Caenorhabditis elegans: one gene and its partner. The protein of the gene in region 1 purifies or fractionates together with the protein of each later gene. This does not show direct contact. Each region holds a gene or a part of one and is shown on either strand. Other genes may lie near its edges.

Region 1 (7,002 bases):
TCAAATTTCTAATTTTTATGAAATTCCCACAACTAGGTCATTCATTTGTGCGGGAATTCAAAACTACCGTAGTTGTTCTAGTAGATTTTCCCCCAACGGCTCGGCGACTTATAGACTTTTATCGGATGTCTTAACTGTTATCAAAAAGTTGTAATAATTAAAATATAGAGAAAAATTTTGCACGTCTTTTTACAGTTGACAATTTTTGATAAATGCAGAGACAACTGAGACAATGATAACGGATACAGCTGTCATAATAGAGCAAAAGTGTGCAAGTCCAATTGAGAAATACATTAATTCAGTAATTTTCAGTTTTATTTGCAAAATTGAAAATTTTGAACTTTTTTAAAACTTTAAAGTTATATGAGTTATTCGAAAGCTTATGCTCTAGATCAAATTTCCTTTTTTGAATTTTTTAAATTCTGATTTTTACCTACTCTGAAAAAAGACAGTTATATATAATTATATTCAGCAGACATCTAAATTAAAATATGCTACTTCCATTTTAACGTACAGATATTTATAAAATAAATGAATTCGAACAAAATAAAAAGTTTGGAAACTAATTTAGAAATGATACACAATAGAACTAATTAATAATTGTAAAAAACGAATACCCATTTTCAGAATGATGTGAGAAGTGAAGAGGATTGTATCAAAAAAAATAATAGGGGAAAAGAAATACTGTTGGTCTTCTTCAGAGAAGGATGTTTGAAAACTATTAAACTTTCTGTCATTATAAATTACCGGTGATTCATTTGAGTATTATTATTATTATATTACTGCTACATCAATACGCATCACAAAAAACTATTGTTGTCTCGGGCTCTGTTGAGTATAATGATTGACGACGGCTTGATATGGGAAAAGGTCAGCAGTCATTGGATATCCATTGTTTAAAGCCATTGGATGTGGAGCATCGTATTGATTTGGAGCTATTCGCTTCTCTTTTTGACGACGATTGCAGAACCAGACACGGACAACCTAAATTATACTTTTGAGAAAGTGAAGTTTCAGAAAAATTTAATGAGGTAGGCGTTTAACTTGCTCCAGGCGCCCCTTTCACTTGCCTCATTCTTCACCCTTTTCACACTCTACATTTGCAATTTTAATTAACGGTATTTAAACCGTACTAAACTAAACTTAAACCTAAACTTTATATTTTATTGGGACACTTTTTTTTGTAGAGAAACACTTTAATTAAATGAATTAATAATCAAAATCTCATTCATAATAATCAAAATCTCAAATCATTGTCAAGTTACTGTAAAAAAAATTCGAAGTTCACAGTAATAAAAATTCCGGAAAATAGAAAAATATCCTTACCTCTTTCTCAAGCTGCAACTCCATGGCAACTTGTGTAATCTCTTGTGCATTTGGCTTCTGATTCGACTGGAAATGGAATTCAAGACGAGATTTTACATTGACCTGAAACACCGGTATATAACATTTTTCAGTTTTAAACACAAACTACCTCAATGCTTGTTCTCTTCTTTCTCTTTCTTCCAGCTTGCCCTGTCATTTTTTCAAATGTAGAATTGGGCGAGCCAGTCGTTGAATCAGCTTCCTCGAGCCATTTGAATAGAAGTGGCTTTAGTTTGCACATATTCTATAACGAAATTAAATTCAATTAAAACATAGAAAAGTCGGCAACAAGAAACAGTTTCCGTTGAAAGTCATGTGGATGAAAGTCAACAAACCTTGAAAGAGAGTTGAAGCGCTTCAAAACGACAAATTGTTGTCTGGGAAAATATATTTCCGTAGAGTGTTCCGAGAGCCACACCTACATCTGCTTGTGTGTATCTGGAAATTGAAGAACATGAAAATGAAAGAATATGAGGAATTGCCAACTGATAAATTCCAATTTGATCAGAATTTGAGGATAACTTTCTGCCCAACTTTGGCATTGTACCAGCTGGTTGACAGAACGTTGCCTCGAAATGTTTGAGATATCGAAATTGTTATTTTCAAAAGTTTAACTTTTTACAGTTATGTGTAGAGAACATTTAAAATTTTCACTCACCCTAATTTGATTCTTCTCTGCTTAAATTGTTTTGCAAATCCTTCCAAATCATCTGGACACGTCTGTTCACTATCATCGGAAATATCAGATAATGGCTGATGTGGTCCACCAGCTCCACTCACTGATCCACTATCATCACAAGAAAATTGATAAGCTGGTGGCCATGGAGGCATTAACCTCTGAATAATTTCAGGTCGTTCAACTTCCTGTTTGATTTGGCACGAAGGTGTACTTGTAACCACAGACGTTTGATTGATTATTGAACTTTGTGAGGCAATTGTTGCAGCAGCAACTGCTGCAGTGGACGGTGTTAGATGATGTGGAGGAGGTAGAGATTGAGCAAGATGTGGATATGCCCAATCGTGTTGTGGAAGCATGAAATGAAGTTGAGGTTGTTGATACAGCATTGGAGTATGCGGCCAATCTTGGAATGCCTCGCATGTTGGTTTGATAACCTGAAACATTTTGCAGCTAGAATTGTAATGTCGTTTTTGAAAATACGTGGTACTTCGAGTGACAGCTTATTAAATATTTTTGAAATAAGAAACGTTCCGAAACTATTAAAAAGTGTGCTAAAAATAAAAGATATAACTTTCCTTGTTTTAAAGGATTCAAAATGGTATGTGCGCCTACCAATTGAAAAAAGTATATTCAGTGAAAAATCAGTGAAAAAACGGAACACACAGTTCAAATTTGCAACATAAATCAGGATTTTTAATATCTCATTATGAAATCTAATCGATTGAGACGATTGTATGTAACATCATTATGGGTCGCAGCTCCTTCGAGTAATTTTTGAAAGTTCAGCCATATTAATGAAATAAAAGTATTCTGATGAACTGTGACAATGTTCCCGGAGCTTCTTATTTCATCCCTCACTGCTTATATAAAATCGTTCAATTTTCTGGCCCTACAATTTTGGCCTCGATCCAATTTAGTCTTGAACAGATGAACACCCAGCTTAGAGAAAAAAAGAGGCCAATCAATCTTAATCCTCTTTAGCACGGCGCCTTCTTAGGGACTACATCTGCCAATTTTCTACCCTCTAGTACATCATCAACTCTTCCTTTTTCTGTTGGTTTTCGCTCCACACATGACAAAATAATATTGAATTGTTGATAACTGTTTCCCACAAAGATTCTCATGAGTCTATTATACATGGTATCTACGTGGAGACAGACGAATGCAACGATCTTTGAGAGACTCAAGGGGTACTGTAGTAGTTTGTGTACATGAAGAGAGATGTACTAGAAACAGAAGAAAGGGCGGAAATTTTGATAATCGGATTGAAAAAGAGTCATCAAGTTTTACAGAGAGAATGATATGTGATGACGTGCAGTTCGTGTTAGTGATACTGTATTGTTCTGGGATATTTGGAAGGTACATTAGTGAATAGGAAAATAATACAAATATTGATTGAGGTGTTTAAAAAGGATATAATTACAAACCAGTATAATGAAAAATTACGGCTCCGATTTCATGAATTCTAGACTGACCAAGGACCAAAATGTTTCTTAAGCCTTCTATACTTCTTTTACCAAGTCATTGGCAGTTAAAAAACATCAATGAGAAAAATTTCAAAGAGTTTTATAAAATTATAGTTAAATGCATTGTTGATTATTCCTAAAAGTAGGTAAGGTTTCACCAAACAATTTTTGCAGTTTTTATTAGTCCCCACATTATTTCGAAATCAATTTTCCAATTTGACGGTTTAGTAGACCTTTTTATAGTTATAATAGCAAATGTTTAATATTTCAACTTCAAATTAATTATTTTAGTTTCACAATGAAAAAACTGCTCTGTAAGAATTTCAAAAATCTGGAGTTACAGTTCACAATTTTTATAACAAAATAAACATTGTATAAATGAAAGCCTAATGCCAGTGAAAATATAGATTTAGATTACCTGTTATCATTCCTACAAGTAGTTAATCTAAACAATACTTTATTGAAGTTTTAGCTCAACTAAATTACAGAAGCTTGGCACTTTATGTCTAGGATATAAAAAGTTTTATACTGCCAGGAACATCAGAATTCTGGGTTTACGGTTCCACCTAATACTTTCAGAACACAAATGAAAGAAACAACTACATCATTTGTCGATCTACAAGCAGTTGAGGTACTATCAGAGACACCTTAAAATATAGGAGTATCAGCTCAACTAATTTTCTAGATGAATGTTACTTTATGCCTAGAAAATAACAATCTATCAGAACAATGTACAATATACAACTTTGTAACAGCGGTAAGACACTGTTAGAGTTTGAGGCAACAAGTGTAGAAGAACTGAATGGGGCAGTCGAGGGGCTGATTCTTATTGGCATAAAATTGAAATTCAAATGCTGTGCCCCCCCCCCCCCGCTTGCCTCCTTTTTTGGACCTACTCGCTGTATAATGTCGTCCTCATCAGAATCAAATCAGTTGTGGGAGGAAACGAATAAAAAGAAGAACTAACCTGTGCATAATTGGCTGCCTCCATCTCGTTCTCGTTAATTAGATGATGATGAAGATGATAATTAGGTAGAATATTCTGATCACTTATACCACTTCCGTTCAGTGATGATGGCTCAGAATCGGATGCTGAAGCAGATAAAGAAGACGGTATGGATGACGACGAAGGTATGAGCATCAGTTGGGAAGTCCAGGAGCAACGGGGTGGCCACTACTGTGGAAAAGATGGGATGTGTGTGTTGAAAATGAAGAGAGAAAAGGAAGAGGTAGTAGTCAAAAGAGGGGCGGTCTTCTTCTTCTTCGTTTCCCTTTTTGCTGCGTCTCTTTTTCACACGGGAGCCACTTGGAATGTGTTGGCAGGAAAGCGGTCTTTCTGCGTCTCGTCTAGCCACCGTAATCGTATAACCAATCGACGAGAATTGACATCAGGACACGCCCATTCTTTGATATGTTTGTAAAGATGGTCACGCCTACTGTCATGAGACATTGATGCTGTAGAATTGTGAAGATATGGGTTTAGTGTCTAGAAATACATTTATTTATTTGGAGTTATTTGAAGAGGTGTTGAAAGTTATAGAAACACATTATTGGAAGATTTCTAAGTTTCAAAACAATCGTAAAATCTTGCATCCGCCTATTCTTTTTGAAAGCCTATTTTTCGGTTCTTTTGAAGTATTTTACAACTTATTTTTTTTACAAAACTATAGATAATAAATACCCAATGTTTTGTTAGTTGCTAACATTTTGATCAACCCAAAGACAATCTAGATATGAGGTGCCAAAGTTGAGCAATACAGTGTAATGCTATTAGAGGAAAGACGGTAATTAAAAAGCCAACGCTTGATAACAATTAAAATAATAGTTATTATGTAATAATTTCAATAGATTTTGGCAAAAGAGCGTTACGTATTGACAACCTGGTGAAAAATCTTTTCCATCTTTTTTCCATACAGCTGAAAACTTCATCGATTGTAAACTAAAAAAATACAGTAAATTCAGTGGTTATTCATACTCGAATATATTTTTCTTCTGACAGAAAAGTAGACAAAAAAAGAAGTGTATGTTTGCAATAAAATATCCCAAAGCAGTTGGAAGTTGACACCGTAAGTTTTTAACAAGAAAACTTTACACAATACACATATTTCAAATAAAAAATTACTTCTGGAAGGTAGAAAAAATCGAAAACCTAGCGAATTTCATGAAATTTCTCAAAAATCTTGAGACGATCGAAAACTGAATAAAGGAAACAGACAAAAATGAGGGTGGCGAAGAATGAGAATGGTTGGAAAAAGAAGGCACTCACACATACAAATACATACAGAGACACACGGCATAAGATTTGCATGAGCAATGAATTTCAACTCTTCTTCCCGCACCCCTTTCTCTCTTCTTCCATCACTTTCATCCTCATTTCCTCACCGACGTTATATTCCCTGATAGGTTCCTTCTATATTTTTTATTTCAGGAAAATAGATTTCGAGTTCGTTTCTTTCAACTTGAAAATTTGCCGCTGTTTAATATCCTTTAGACATTTCCATCGCTAAAGTTGCAAAATTTGGTTTCAAATTTGCTGTGAACTGTCAAGAAGTTCCGGTTGAAAATGTGCCTCTTAAACTGACCTATCACTTAGTTTAACCCAGTTTTTTTTTCTGAAGTTCCATCATGTTTTATTGCACATGTTTTATAATTTGATTGTATATTCATACTAGTGTGACTATGTAGATCAAAATAAGGCAAATGTCCCATACATATTTTTAAGTCTGGATGCTTTTCAAGATTTTTAGTATTCCAAAACTTTATTAATCTGCAAGTAATAGTTGAAATCAATCAAAATTAACGCGATAAATTTTTTATTTTTTGTTTGAAAAAAAGTTTTGTCTTGATTTCTGTAACTATGACTCCAGCTGCAAGATGTTCGTTTTCTCACTTTTCCCCATATCTTCCCACTCAATAAATCTCGAATTTCGCTTTCCTCTAAGCCGGATTGAAAGCTTGTGCCAATTTCCGCTTGTCTTCGGATGATCTTTTACTCAGTTAGAATCGAGTTTTTGTTGTGAATAACCGAAATAGATATTTCAATGGTACTCTAGTTGGATTTATGTAAAAATTTAAGTATATTGGTTTTCATTTATATTTGATTTTTGTAAATGTTGAATACCGTATTTTTTATATTAATATTGCACCCAAATACATCTTCAAGAGCCTTCTTAAGAGTATTTTAAATTTTAGCTTTAAATCATTTTCAAATGTTTTTTATGGTTCCACATATTTCTTCCCGCACTGAAGCATTAAATTTTTGAAGTGAGAAACTAGTAATCTTCAACTGAATGTAATCCTCCAAAATATAGTTTTGCAGTCTATACTGTATTTTATTTTCTATCCGCCTAAATAAATTGAAGATAGAAATACAACTCATCGTACTAAAACATTTCCTATCAACCTGGCAACCTGTTTATTGATCGTAACTAATCAACTTTTGTAATAATTATCTAATAGTTTGATGATTTGTTTGTGTTCATCAATGTACTG
Region 2 (4,737 bases), on another chromosome or scaffold:
ACTACATCCAAAACTTACAGAGCTCCCAAAAATATTAGTCAGTTATTTGAACGCCCCCTGCTGTGCGGTCTGAGGGGCACTTGTGCTGCTTTTGCCAAAGTCATGCATATGAATATGGGACAAAATTGGTTGGGCATCGTCAGTCTCCCGTTGTTTTCCACTGGCCAAGATTGGCGGGCAAATGACTTTCCAAAATCTCCCTACAGCAATCAAAACCTCGTACTTCGGTGTATGAGTATGAGAGTGTGCGCGCGTGCGTGCTTCAGGAGCCACGGAGCCGGACTGTGGACGACCGAAATTCGATCATACACTGCTCGGCGGCAGCTCCGGCTATTTTTGTTTGAGTTGAGGAATTGAGACCACCCTATTCCGATTCCATCACAACCCAACTTCACCACACAGGAAGAAACAGTATGTATGTGTGTATGTGTCGAGGCGCAAATCGAATCGAGAAAACGAGACAACCAACAACCCGATGTTTGACAATTTCGCGAAATTCATATGCACAGTTTTCGTTGACTCTTCTCGGTTTCTTCTCGTCTGCCTCTGATACATTCACTTCACCATTGCTTGTTTGAACAAAATAAACTTCTCGGTAACGACCAAATCAAGTAAAGAACACACTTTTGGTTGGTTGTGTGCAAGTAAAAATACCAATGCATCTTTTTTATCAAATCTGGGTGAAAAAAAAGAAGCCTCCGGAAACTGACTGCTTCTTGCTTCAATCTTTTTTAGTCGTTTGGTTTTACAGATCTAAGCTTGGGTGTCAACATTTTATGGATAAATTAAAAATTTGTAAACTTATATGATGGTATCAACATCTAAATTTTAGAACATGGTATTTCAGAATGCAAAACTGAAATATGAGGTCCTCAGAAATGAGTTGGGACGCATCTAAATAGGTTTCTAAGCGCGAATAATTATTGGAGTTTCAAGAAAGAAATATACAATAAAACTGAAGGTGATGAGAGTTAGGAGCAATAAATTGGTTGCATGGATTAAAAAACTGGGGAAACGTGGAAAATGACGGCTGACACAAGTGGCATCAAATAATGGGTAAGAGAGCAAACAAAAATCGAAGAACAGTGAGAATTATCAAGAATCAGGACGGAGAAAATGAATTCCGATAAACCACAAAAACTGACATAGGAAACAAATATACGAAACATATTGATTAGAATTTCAAAAACAGTCAAATACCAAGTCAGTGTTGTGTTGGCAAAATTTTAAAGGGAGAAAAAATGGGGAAGTGAAACAACCTCTGGGCACGTATCACCCTACACGGGACATTGAATTTTTTGTGAGAGAAATGGGAATAAGAGGTAAAAAGTCATTTAGCAATGCACATCTCTGAAACTGCCTCAGATTTTGATTTTGGAATTGAAAAAGCTCAGATGTTTCAAAAGTCAAAAACCGTTTTGAAAAAAATTAATGGAGTATTGAAATTTGTACCAAAAAAACTAATTGAAGGTCAATTTCTTTCGAGAAGTGTGTTTAAGAGGTAACATGGGATTGGGAAAGAGCATTTTGAATGTTTTGAGCATGAGTCAATTCAATACTGTACGGATACATCATCTGATCCTTTGTGTGGTCGTAGTAAGCACGAAACTGACTGGAGTCAACGGTGCCGACTGTAGAATCACTGCCAACCGGCGAGCTCTCTGATTTTGGTGTCAGGTAGCTGCCAGCAAAATTTGTGCTCATCGGAGATGGCTGGAACTGCGAAGGCGACGAGTTGTCAGTTGGGACCGAATGCACTGGGTATGTCAACGAGAATGGAATTTGATCCATTACAGTTGTTGTGGGGTACGGAGCAAACCGAAACTGATCAATATACTGATTTGTCGCATTCCAGTTGGTTGTTAACGTCGGATACTGAAACATGAAAATAGATATATGAAGTATTCAATATCGAAGGAAAACTTACAGATGGCGTTTTTGTGTCCAAATTTCCAAATGGAATTGGTGCTCCATTTTTCTTATTAATTGACTTTGTCTTCCTTCTCGGTCTGTATTTGTAGTCTGGGTGTTCCTGAAGAGAACAAATTGTGATGGCACTATTCAATAAGCTTAGTATCAGGCGACCCAGATTCCCCAACTAACCTTCATATGAATGGCGCGTAGTCGTTTCGCTTCATCGATGAATGGTCTTTTTTCTTGTTCACTGAGCATTTTCCATTCTGTCCCAAGACGTTTGCTGATTTCAGAATTGTGCATTTTTGGATTTTCCTAGAATAATGAAAGTGTAATATAATATGTAAGATACGTGAAATGCAGTTTGCTTTCAAGCTGTTCGAAATGTTGAAATTTAGGCGAACACAGGTAATATGACTAAAACTTTCTGTGAATAGAACCTAAATACTTATTTTCTCCAGATTTTCAATGCAATATGAGAAAAATAATTTTAAATGTAGAGGATTAACTCAAGTGAGTTAAGGGATCAGAGACTCTAAACGAGAAAACGATGTGCATATATTAGAAGATTCTCCAGACATAAGTGAATCAAGAAGGTCACGAATCGAATCGTTGACGCAAACTGTGTCTTACTAATTAGGAATGCAATAGAAGAGTGTGGGAAATGATTGATTTAGTGTGAAAGTAAACTATATCAGATACAATTTTAAAAAGTCAGGAATTAACAGTAGGTTAGAAAATGAAAGAAAAATTTACCAGAGCCATTTTCTTCCGCTGTCCTCTGCTCCAAACCATAAATGCATTCATTGGCCTTTTCACTCTGAAACGGAAACAATAGATGAATAGAACAATGTTTCGATGTTAACACTTCCACAGAAGAGCCACCTGAATATCTTACCTGTCGTCATTCTTCTTTCCGTCTTTTCCTGTTGAATCAGGGCTATCGGGCCCATTTGACAAATCATCTGGCATTGACTGCGGGAGAAGATTTGTTGAAGATGTTGGTGGCATGTGAAATCCAAACGACCAACCCGAGTAGTCCTGCATTTTTGCTGAATCCGGATCCATCATCATCTTGTTAAACAACAATGATATGACACGTCGACCGGACACTGCAAAAGACAACCAATATGAAATACAATAGAATTTTGAACGGGAATCGCGCAAGAGAAGGAGGTAGAAAAGACAGGAGAAAGAAGAAGGGAAGATGGGGAAGAGGTTCACGAGATTGGGCGCCGACGAGAGGTGCACAGACAACTGTGGGTGGGCGGGTCTAACACCGCTTGGCCAATCATCGCGCGCCTTCCAGGGCGTGGCTTATTCTCTCTGTCCCTCGTTACCAAAACTCTCTGTATGATGATGATGATGCCGACGCAATGTCCTGGCGGGACCTATTTCACATGATGATGACAACGTTTCTCTCAATCCGTCGCTTCTCCACCAGCAGCAGAAACGGCGACGTTGATGATTCGGAAGACGTCGACGAATAAAGTAAACTATGTGCAGGTGACCGTGTACAGAACAACACCTCGGGAATAGCAATAGGAAGTAAGAGATGGTGGTATTACTATACACTTTTCAATTTCACACATTATTGGATTCTAAAGTTCTTGTATGTATCGCAGAGAAGAACACCTGCTACGGCGGATACAGCCAGTTATAGCTTTAGAATCAATCGGAAAATACTTAGAGGCGGCAAAAAACTCTGATTGTTCAAAACTACAGTTTGTGCATTTGTGCTTTAATTCAAAATTGAAGTCAAATCTGAAAATGTCAATATCGCAAATTGAATATTTAATTTATAAACTTGATTTCTCGAAAAAAGCAACTAACCTATTTTTCTTCAAGCACTCATTAAAAACGACTGCTCATAATCTGAGGTTTCTATTCACAAAGCGCTGGAGACTGAGTCTCGGAATCTATTCAACACTTGTCTATTCATTCAACATTTCGGGCGGCTAATTTGGGAAACGACACTTCTCTGTTTAATCAAATCATATTGTTCCTGGTGTTGTTTTTCAGAGTTATGGATCTACTAAAACTGGAGAAAAAATTGAAAAAAAAACATGAGACCCGCAAGTATACGGTAACTTTGATAGCTAATCAATGTTAAACTATGAAAAATCCAACCTGATAAAATCTCGATTTTCAATAATAGCTGGTTGATTAACAATAGATAACTGATGAGAGGAGAAATTTCAATACAATGATAACATCAGTAGGGAGGTGGTAGAGGAAGATTTGTTAACAAGCTATATTCACATCCAAGGTGGCAAGGTATACCTTTCCTTTCAAGACGCCGTTCTAATCCGACAAAATGAAGCGAGCGATACGAGCATCTGTGGTTTTCGAGAAGATAATCCCTTAGTTATTGGCAAGCTTCTTGTTGATTGCGAAAAGCTGAGACAGACATTAAAGGAAATGATGGCAGTGACGGCTCTTCAGAGGTACGGGTCACAAGGTACGAAAAACCAGAACCTAGTTGACGAGGTGGTTGTAAAATAGCATTAGGGGCCGCCTAACCTATATCCTATAATGGCAGGAGAGCATCTTACAAATCCGTATCAAATTATTTCAGTACAATACAAAAAATTTAATTTATTTCTTGTTGTCAAGGAAATCAGGGAAATAGATTTTGGAAGTTTATTGTAGATGAAGCAAAAAAAGCGAGCATTTCTCGATGGAGCAAAAACCTCGGGACAGCAAGAGAGAGCAAGCAAGCACACATTGGAAAGCACTCTCACATACACATAGCTACAGTATCCGGGAGAGAAAAAAACGACGAAGGCTTGTTTCGCTAGTTTTGCTGCTTTTGCTGGTCAT

Evidence for each region.
Region 2: the proteins of ceh-6 (region 1) and sox-2 purify together in Caenorhabditis elegans (affinity purification with western blotting, with the first as the bait; one study listed by BioGRID). This does not show direct contact.

Annotation. Positions count from the first base shown.
Region 1 is NC_003279.8:8,497,610-8,504,611, forward strand, and holds ceh-6 (Homeobox protein ceh-6), read right to left. Parts: upstream 4,996-7,002; 5' UTR 4,652-4,995; coding exon 4,478-4,651; intron 2,479-4,477; coding exon 2,024-2,478; intron 1,804-2,023; coding exon 1,701-1,803; intron 1,610-1,700; coding exon 1,475-1,609; intron 1,429-1,474; coding exon 1,327-1,428; intron 985-1,326; coding exon 811-984; 3' UTR 503-810; downstream 1-502. UniProt on the Caenorhabditis elegans protein: Vital for embryonic development and essential for the proper function of the excretory cell. Required for the transdifferentiation of the Y rectal epithelial cell to the PDA motor neuron during larval development.
Region 2 is NC_003284.9:7,457,523-7,462,259, forward strand, and holds sox-2 (Transcription factor sox-2), read right to left. Parts: upstream 3,027-4,737; 5' UTR 2,989-3,026; coding exon 2,813-2,988; intron 2,735-2,812; coding exon 2,671-2,734; intron 2,230-2,670; coding exon 2,104-2,229; intron 2,033-2,103; coding exon 1,928-2,032; intron 1,876-1,927; coding exon 1,495-1,875; 3' UTR 760-1,494; downstream 1-759.